Linked DNA regions of Caenorhabditis elegans. The protein of the gene in region 1 interacts with the protein of each later gene in a biochemical or structural test. Each region holds a gene or a part of one and is shown on either strand. Other genes may lie near its edges. The genes, in order: daf-2 and chn-1.

Evidence for each region.
Region 2: of the proteins of daf-2 (region 1) and chn-1, one has a biochemical effect on the other in vitro, tested with the Caenorhabditis elegans proteins (2 studies listed by BioGRID, with this or other methods).

Annotation. Positions count from the first base shown.
Region 1 is NC_003281.10:3,037,822-3,042,678, reverse strand, and holds the start of daf-2 (Insulin-like receptor subunit beta), read left to right. Parts: upstream 1-1,832; 5' UTR 1,833-1,897; intron 1,898-4,857. UniProt on the Caenorhabditis elegans protein: Insulin receptor-like tyrosine kinase which regulates metabolism, controls longevity and prevents developmental arrest at the dauer stage.
Region 2 is NC_003279.8:6,180,676-6,185,570, forward strand, and holds chn-1 (E3 ubiquitin-protein ligase CHIP), read right to left. Parts: upstream 3,182-4,895; 5' UTR 3,172-3,181; coding exon 3,113-3,171; intron 3,067-3,112; coding exon 2,976-3,066; intron 2,923-2,975; coding exon 2,854-2,922; intron 2,806-2,853; coding exon 2,707-2,805; intron 2,660-2,706; coding exon 2,453-2,659; intron 2,232-2,452; coding exon 2,019-2,231; intron 1,024-2,018; coding exon 961-1,023; 3' UTR 639-960; downstream 1-638. Other genes in the region: putative mitochondrial import inner membrane translocase subunit tin-44, read right to left, coding at 1-35, 84-165; T09B4.2 (Torsin-1B), read left to right, coding at 3,412-3,732, 3,779-4,082, 4,191-4,404, 4,470-4,560; GPI mannosyltransferase pigv-1, read left to right, coding at 4,788-4,875.

The DNA.
Region 1 (4,857 bases):
ATGGGTACTTCTACATGATTCTCAGTTTCCTTGAATATATTTTTTTCTAACTTTTAATAATTATCTGTAAATAAAGCTCTTGTTTTTATCATAATTTCCTGAAAATCGTATAGTTGAACTTTTAAAGTACACTTTGACTCACCGAGCAAATCCAGATGCCATTTTGTCATCTATTTTTCTGACTTTAAAATATCATCAAAATATGTTTGTCTAGTTTTTATACTATAGTTTATTTTGCGTTCTTTCTTTTGAATAACATATTGTTATAACTTTTTAGTGGAAATTTTAACAAAAAAAATTGCTGATTTACAGTTTAGGAGTGCTAAATTAGGTTTGCAAGACTTTGTGAATCTAATTTTAAATGTGTGTATATCTGTGTGGAGCAGAGTTATGAAAAACTGTTTTCACACAAAAATATAGCAAATTTTAAGCTCTACAAGTTGTTAGTTAACAACTTTTTATTATCTTTCCTCTTCGCTGAGGTACACGCGTCTAAGTGTGGTGAGTGCGAGAGCTTAGTGCGGCAGAGCCTTACTTACGACCGTTTATCTCATTGAGGAAAGGTGCTAGCAAATAATTCCAAACTAGTAATCTGTAGAAAATTTTAAGCTCTACAAGTTGTTAGTTGACAACTTTTTGGCAACTTTTTTCCCCGCAGAGATATGAGCGCCAAGCTGTGCAAAGTGCGAAAGGTCAGTGCGGCAGAGCCTTACTTACGACCGTTTATCTCATTGAGGAAAGATGCTAGCAAAAAATTTTTCACTAGTGAATTGTGGCAAATATGAAGCTCTACAAATTGCTAGTTAACAAATTTTTTGTAACTTTCTCCCTCGCAGAGAAATAAGCGCCAAGCTGTGCTGAGTTTGAAACCGCGCGAAGGGCAGAGCCTCATTTACGGCCGTTTATCTCATTGAGGAAGAGTGTTAGCAAAAAATTTTCCACTAGTGAATTGTAGGAAATTTTGAGCTCTACAAGTACTTCATTGACAACATTTTTGTAACTATTTCTCCCGCTGAGATACGTGCCTAGATATACGACCTGGAAATTGAAGCTGAATCTCGAATCTCTTCCCCTCTGGCAGAAAAAGTCGAATTTCCCTCCTTTTTCCTGCTATTTTGAGAAAAAAAAAATAATTACGCAAATGGCGCGAAACTTTTCTGACACTTTTCTGATCAAAAATTAGAGTTATGCAAAGAAACGAAGGAGCTATGTAGTGACGTCATTCTCGAATTTTAAATTTTTTACCAAACCTTCTAATTCTTGTTTTTCTCTCTATTTTTCCTAGTTTCTTTGTTTCTTGAATGTTCCCAAATAATATCGGCGGATTAATTGATAAGGATATCTATCAATGACATTGCCTCCTCTCTATAGAAATCTGTGTAGAAATAGTAAAAGTGCATTAAAAGATGATAAACGACCATCAGATTTCATCTTTTTCTATCTTTTTCATGGCGGAAATGTTGTTTACTTCTTTCGGCCTTGTTTTCCTGGTGTTTTTCCCTAATTTCGTGGGGTTCAAAAGAGTTCAAACCGGTCAAATGTCGCTTTTTTTGCAAAAAATATTGGTAGTAGCAAGTGCGCTCCATTGTCAATTTAGAGTTTTCACCATTTTTAGAGATGTTTTTTGTGCATTTTTGCAATGTTTTGAACTGAAAATTCAAGTTTTCAATTTATGAAATGTAGAAACTGTATTTTTCCATTGAAAAAAAGCTTTAAATCGACATTTTAACTGATTTTAAACATTTTCCCGGGGTACTGTACCTGCGAATGTGTGCAGCGGTGTTTGCGTACCCGCGCTTTCGTTTTTGATTTTTGAATTTCGTTTTTCACATTTTTCTTCGATTTTTCTCAATATTCCAGCTATTTTTCACGGATTTTTATCATTTTTTCGACAAAAGTAAGTAATTTTCTCTTTTTTTCCACTAAAATTCCCACAAAAATCGTAAAAATAGGGAGATTCAGGCGGGTTTTTTGATTTTTCACCGATTTTTTGCTATTTTCTTCATTTCTCAGCCGATTTTAGTCTTTTTTTTTGTCTAAATTATCAAATTTAACCTTAAAAATCTGCTAAACCATCTGATTCTTCGCTCACAGAACGATTTTCCCGTCATTTTCCAGTTTTTCCCAATTTCCGCCCGTAAAATTCCATTTATCCAATTCAAATTACGCCGAATTTGTTGCAATAGTCTTGGCACGGTGCCAATTGGATCTTTTCACGTCATTTTTGACCATTTTCAAGGTCTTTTCAATGCACTTTTAGGCTGCCTTTGTGAAAAAATAACGGATATTCGAAGTTTTTCGTGAAAAAAAGTGGAAAATCTAGGAAAAAATCGAGAAAAATAAGGTTTTTAAAAGATTTCAACAGACAAAACCACAAAATTTGCTCAAAAAAGCAATTAAAAATTGAAAAAATTACTTGAAAATATCGATTTTAAGCGATTTTGTTTTAAAAATACACACAATTTTTAGCGAAATCACACAAAAAATCGAGAAAATCCCAAAAATTTCGTTAAAAACCAACAAAATTAATGTGAAAATTGGTTTTTTCGCTTTAAAATTGATAAAAATTGATAAAAATTTATTTAAAAAATCACACTTCGGTCAATCTCTGGGCCATTTGCAGCAATTTAGCAATAAAAATAACGAATTTTCTGATGTTTTAGGCAGAATTTTGGAGATTTTTAGGGAAAATCTCAAAAAATAACCAAAAATCGCTTTAAAATTGATGAAAATTCCCATTTTCGCCAATTTCTGAACCATTTTTCCGCAATTTTGACCAGTAAATTGCAAAAAATATCGAAAAATTTTGGATTTTATAATCCAAAATTCTAAAATTTCAAGTAAAATTCAGCAAAATTTGGTGAAAAAAAATACAAAAAATTACAAAAAATTGGCTCAAAAATCAAATTTTTGCGAAAAAAATCGAATTTTAGCCCAATTTTCTTCGATTTCTTCCAAATTTTCACTCATTTTTCGCTTTTTTTCGCTCTTTCAATCAGAAATACCCCCTTAAAAATAAATATTTTCCAAAAAGTACACCGACAAACGATGAGCAAACAATCTGTGCCACGTGGGAATTGGTTTTTTTGTGTTTATTTTACAAAAAATGTCAATTTTTTGCTCAATTTTTCAATTAAAAATCGTAATAATTTGCTATTTTATAGTTTAAATTATTGATTTTTAGGTTTTTTTGGCGGGAAAAAAATAAATTTGAAAAAAAAAACGGCGGCGGATGGGGTACAACAACAACAACTCAAAGATCAAAAAACGAAACGCGAAAACATTTGAATTGACCCTTCGTTCTTTTTTCTATGTTTTTTTGCCATTAAAATTGAGTTTTTCGACGTTAAAATGCCGAAAATTCGATAAAAAACTGAAAAAATTGAGTTTTTTCCGGAATTTTAACCCCAAAAACCGAAAAAAAAATCCCGGAAAATCCCCCAGATTTCACTAAAATCTCCAGTTTTACCAACTTTTTTTTGTTAATTTAGGTACATTTTGTGGCCAAAATCAAAAAAAAAATGGTAAATAAACTACCAAAATGTGAAAAATTGGATATTAATTAAATATAAATTGAATTCTGGACAAAATTGAAATTTTCAATTGATTGAACCATTTTTCTATGTTTTTTTGCCATTAAAAATGAGTTTTTGGCGGTAAAATTCCGAAAATATAATTAAAAAATTAAAAAAATTATGTTTTCCCGGAAATTTAACCCCAAAAACCGAAAAAATTCTGGGAAAACTCCAGAAAAATGGGCAAAAATGTAGATTTTTTGGGCCATTTTTTGGCCATTTTTTCGCTTTAGATTTTAATTTTTTATCTGAAAAAAATTGGATTTTTATTCCCCAAATCTAATAATTTCCACAATTTTTTGACACCAAATCCTCTATAAAAATCGTTTTTTTTCATGAAATCTATTCAAAATCTGGCAAAAATTTTGATTTTTTCGACCAAAAACACCTCTAAAATGACCAAAAATCAACGATTTCATGAAAAATGACAAAGATTAGGTCATGTGATGCATTTTTTTTCGTTGTTTTATTACATGATATGGAATTGACAGTGTTCAGAATTTTTTTATTGGTCAAAATTTGGTTTTTCTTTGAAAAAATCGCAATTTATTCTGAATTTTTTGTCAGTTTTTGAACGCCGATTTTTGGCAAATTGCCGATTTTCTGGAAATTTTCAATTCCGGCAAATTGCCGATTTGCTGGAAATTTTCAATTCCGGCAATTTGCCGATTTGCCGGAAATTTTCAATTCCGGCAATTTTGCCGGATATCAATTCGCCGGATTTTTTGAGGGGATTTTTTAAATTACGCAAACCCACAATTTACCGAAACTTTCGGCAGTTGCCGTTTTTCCGGCAAATCGACTAGTTGCCGGTTTGCAGAATTTGCCAAAAATTTGGAAAACCGCAAATTGCCGACTTTGCTGTTTGCCGGAAATTTTCAGTTTCGGGAAATTGCCAGTTTGCCGGAAATTTCAATTCCGACAATTTGCCGATTTTCTGGAAATTTTCAATTCCGGCAATTTGCCGATTTTCTGGAAATTTTTAATTCCGGCAAATTGCCGATTTGCCAGAAATTTTCAATTCCGGCAAATTGCCGATTTGCTGGAAATTTTCAATTCCCGCAATTTGCCGATTTGCCGGAAATTTTCAATTTCTGCAATTTGCCGATTTTCTGGAAATTTTCAATTCCGGCAATTTTCCGATTTGCCGAAAATTTAAAATTTTTCAATTTGGGCAAATGCCAAATTTTCCGAAAATTTGAAAAATGGCAAATTGCCGATTTTGCCGGAAATTTCAATTCCAGCAAATTGCCGACTTTGCCAGAAATCTTTCTACCAACTC
Region 2 (4,895 bases), on another chromosome or scaffold:
CAAAAATCCACGTTTTGGCGCTGGATTACTGTAGTCTGAAAGTTGGAAATAGTTAGAAATGAAAACCTATAGACATTGCCTACCTCTGAAAGTAACAATAGATGGCTGAAATTGAAGTCTTGTCCGAGTTAATCGTATCCCGTTTCCACAAATTCGTGACAACATCTGAAGAATAATTTTTCACATTATAAGTTCAATAAAGAAGAGGCAAGAATGGAACTTGTGCGGGAAATATTCAAATAATAAATTTAATTAATTAATTTCGGTTTAATTATAATTTCTTCTGAACCATTGAAAGCTTTTCAGATCTAAACATCAAGGATTTTTAAACAGTTATTCTAAAACTCTGCAAACAAAAATAATAATGCCCGGAGAATGAAAATAACCATTTTTTGTGAACAAAAATTCTTTTTTGCATTTTATTTCAACAAATTTTCGAACAGAATTCAGCTTAAACAGCTTCGAAATTGAAAAAACGGAAAAAAATGCCGTCTAAATTTCACAACGACACTCCGCAATCCCGCACTCCCAGTGATGCAATTTTGAAAACTTCCCGATTTTATTTATTTTATTTACAAAGTCACGTAGATAGTAGGTTATAGACCTTCCTATTGGTATAAAAAAAATTGTAAAATGAAAAGAAAAGCATCACACCTCTTTATTTCATACAATATTTACAGAATCTCACTTTTAGCAGTAAAATTGAGAACTAAGCGACAAGTTGAAGTGCACTTTCTACCAGAAATTCAATGGAATTTTGAAAGAAAACTAAAGCTAAAAAATACACCAAGATACAAATACCGGTAGAACAGAAAAGGAGGGTACAGCGTTCAAACAATAAAAGTTTAAAAATCCGAAAAAAAAATGCAAAGAACTGAAACATGTAGAAAAGTGAAGAAGTTGCATTGAGAAGCAGCCAGGAATGTTTAATGTTGAATTTTTCAATATTCTGAATAGTATTTAAACCATGCCTCCGGGTTCATATTTAGCCCATGGGTTGTCGTCAAGAAACTTTTCAATAACCTGAAAATCATTAGAAATTAACTGAATTTATTACAGGGTGGGCCAAAAGTATGGTAACACATGAAGCGCTCTTTTACATGAGCTTTTCGCGTGACTGCCACGTCATACGTACATTCTTCTATCGAATACTGATAGCTGAATAAATTTCCTTCAATTTGACTCAAAATTTGTAATGTTTCCCAATAAGGTGCGATCTTTATCACCTCGACAATTTGGCGAACCCTTTCGAAAAAACGGTAATTTGGCACGCGGCACTTCCCACACAAACACACCTCCCATGCACGCCAATAATTTTCAGATGTATGATTTTTATGTTAAATTTAAAGTTAAAGAAGTGAAGAAGCGTTTTTAATTGTTTTTGTGGCATATAAAAATTTTCTGTGTCGACACTGGCGCCTAGCAAGAACCTTTGAATATTTCATGAATTCAACTTTGCGAAATTTACTCAGTTTTTTTGGTTTCGCAAGGCGTAACGTCCCACAAAATCATCCGAGCTCAATTTTCTAAAAAAATTCTGGAAAGTCAGGTCAAAACGTCTCGAAAAATACTAAAATGAATTTTTCTGCATACTGCTACTCGCCGCTCACATCCATCTTTCTGGCGACTATGCCATTCAAGACTTAACCTACTGCCGCAGTCCATGACAGAAATACCGTGATAGAAATTATTTGGATTTTTGTTTTTATAGAATCTCTAGACCAAGAGCATTCTTTGAACTATAAAAACTTGTAAGGCACTTGATGGATTCCTCGAGAAAAATGTAGAAATCCCGCAGAATGCCGACTTGCGTGCCATAAAGGTCGTGATCTCAAAAGTTCTGAAGGCCTGCAGCGATGCGGATGGGAATATTTTGAAAATTCAAAACGTTCATCTGGTCAGTATTTTATGGAGAACAAAACTTGTAACAATTGATGTAGTAACTCTTTCCACTAGTAAAGTTATAGAGCTGCAAACGTGTTACCATACTTTTGGCCCACCCTGTATAAATTTCCAACCTCTTTCAGTGCATAATTCGGAATAATTTCATTTTCGGTAAGTGGTTTTCTTGTGACTGGATCGAAATGGCCAATTCTTCTCAAATGCTGCACAATTTCTTCTCGGTCATACGTGATTCCAGATGGAACTATCACCGGCTCTTTCATCAGTTCCAGTGTAATTTTGCCGCAGAGCATCTCAGGAACCTCCCTGTTTTGCCGTTTTTCTTGTGTCTAAAAAATGATATTTTGATTCTCTTTGATCTCTCGTGATTTAGGAAATATTACACTCACGATAGTTTAGTATGCTTAATTCTGAAAGTATATTTTGAACCGGTTGAAAAAAGTTGGCAGGATTCGGAAACTCGTTTGGTTCGAATTAGAAACGCTTAGATATAAGAATTTGGGAATAGTATTACTAAAGTTTCAAAAAACTTTCAAGAAAAAGTATTTACCGCTAAAGTGAGTTCGGTTAGACGTTTTTTAGCCATATCTGCTCTTTGCAACTCCTCTGGGTTTTCAGAATTTTCTTGACGATCCTTTTCGATCAAGCTCTCCAAATACGTGTGAAATTCAACGTCTTGTACAATTCGCTTTGACTCCTCCTCCTCGTACTTTTGATGGCGTGCCCGTTTGAGGGCGTTCTCAATATCTGGAGCGTTCTGAAACCACAATTCCGTTTTAATAAACGCCGTTCAAAAATTTCTACCGTGATAACAGCATTATGGTAGAGCGCTTTGGAGAGACAGCTTATTGCTTCACTGTACTTTTTGCTCTGTAGAAATACATTTCCCAAGAAGTATAAAGGCTGAAAATGAATTGAATAACTAATTAACTTCAAGAGTTGAAAGCTTACTTTCACTTCGTTTGGGCTCAGTTCCAGTGCCCGTTTGCAGTCTTCTTCAGTCATCTTGAGGTTGTTAAGCTAGAATATATATTACAAAAGTTAAAGAAAAGTTTTAATCGAAGTATAAATACCTGAAAGTAACACATTGCTCTGTTCTGATAGTATTTCGGCAGAGGATTTACTTTGATGGCTTTCGAATAGTGATCAACGGCATCGTCATATCTGAAAGTTCAAAGACATGGGATTTATTACACATAAATGAAAATACCTTTTATTCATATAACACTTTTTGCCATTAGTATTATGTTGTTCGGCGCCGCTTGACATGCTGCAAACGCTGAAAATAAGCGGAAATTGTTCTAAAAATCGATTTTGAAAAGCATGATGCGGATAGAGTTGCGCGTAAGCTCTGACGCATTGTGTGCAAATTAAGCTTGCGGTGTTTGCGGTGTACTCGCTCCAAGCCAAAATTTGTTTTTTGCCGCAATTTTTTATATTTATGTTTTTTTTTAACAGTTTAATTTTTTTTTTTCAAATTCTGCTCCAATTTTCGTTTTAGTTCAGGGTATGGTGCAAACCAGAAAATCATATGGAACTCCATCCAATTACATACCAACATCGAATAAACGTAGGAGTCTCGATAGTTCATCAAGGCTTTATCCTGATCTAACTGAACAAATAAGTAATGCAAGAACCGAAAAGACTAGCGAGCAACAAGATGAAAATGATTTCACAGATGCGGATTTGAGTTTCAGTAGCTCACATGGATCAGAAGAATCCGATGTGTCATGTAACGAAGTGAATGAAAAATGGAAATACTGGACTGTTATTGGAATAGTTTTCATTGCGATTGTTGTGGGAGCATTGATTAAAGGAAGCAAAGTTACGGTTGGTAAAACTACACGCGGTATCGGAATAATTAACAATTTTCTAGACTAACGAATCGTATGAAAGTTACATCAAATCAGTCCGATCTGTCATCAAGAACGAGTTTCCTACAATTTCGAAAGAAAATCGGGATCTCTTAAGACTAATCGGGCAGAAAATCTATTTGGAACCAGAAAATCATGCTCCGTTGGTTGTTCTTGTTGGGGGAACACCGGCCAAACAAATTGCCGAAGCTGTGAATCGAGCTGTTCAAGATGCTAAAAGTGATGAGCATACTACGGCAGGAAAATCATCAATTAGAGTGGAAAGTGACACTGATAGAGCCGAGTTGCATGCGAATTTGCAGGAAAGTGAGTGATTTCAGAACCTCATAATATTTTATGTTTAAATAACTTTTTAACATCTCCAAAGTAATGTGAAAATTCGCTGAATTTTGAAAATATAATGCATTATTTCAGTCCTCGGACCCGCTCTTATTTCACAATCATCACCTCGAACAGCTGTGATTTTGGATGTAGACCTGCTAAAATGGGATGCAGTTCTTGTTCTTCATGCGTTCTCAGATCACGGAAAATATCCAGTTCCCAAAACAATACTTTTTCTGACTGTTTCTTCACAACAAGATTCAACGATGGACATTGCCAACACAAGTTGTGATGAGAAAATGGTCCAGTAAGTGGTTTTTGTAGATCAAAATAGTTAAGAAATTTTTTGATCTACAATTTTCGCACTTACAGATTTCTAACGAAACGCTGGATTGAGAACGGCGGCTCTTCAGACAACATTCCACCGATTATTGCACGAATTTCTTATTTTTTATGTGTTTAAAATTTTGCCGGTACATTACCTTCATTTTTCACGGGTTTTTATTTTTTAATTCTGTAATTTAATCCAAGGTTTTACAAGATCAGCTAAATAGTTCAAGGAATTCTGTGTTCATTGAATAAAAATAGTAAAAGTTTTACATGTTCGTATAAATCTCGTATATTCGCTTTAAAAATGCTGTCACTATTTTATTTTTTTATTGATCTGTTTTCTAAAATGATTAATACAGGATGCGTAGACGTGAGCCTGGGAGAGATGTTAAACGTGCAGCTGAGGAAGAATTTATCGAGTTAGAGAGACGTACGGATACGTACGAAGGTGAGAAAACGCAGGTTTTT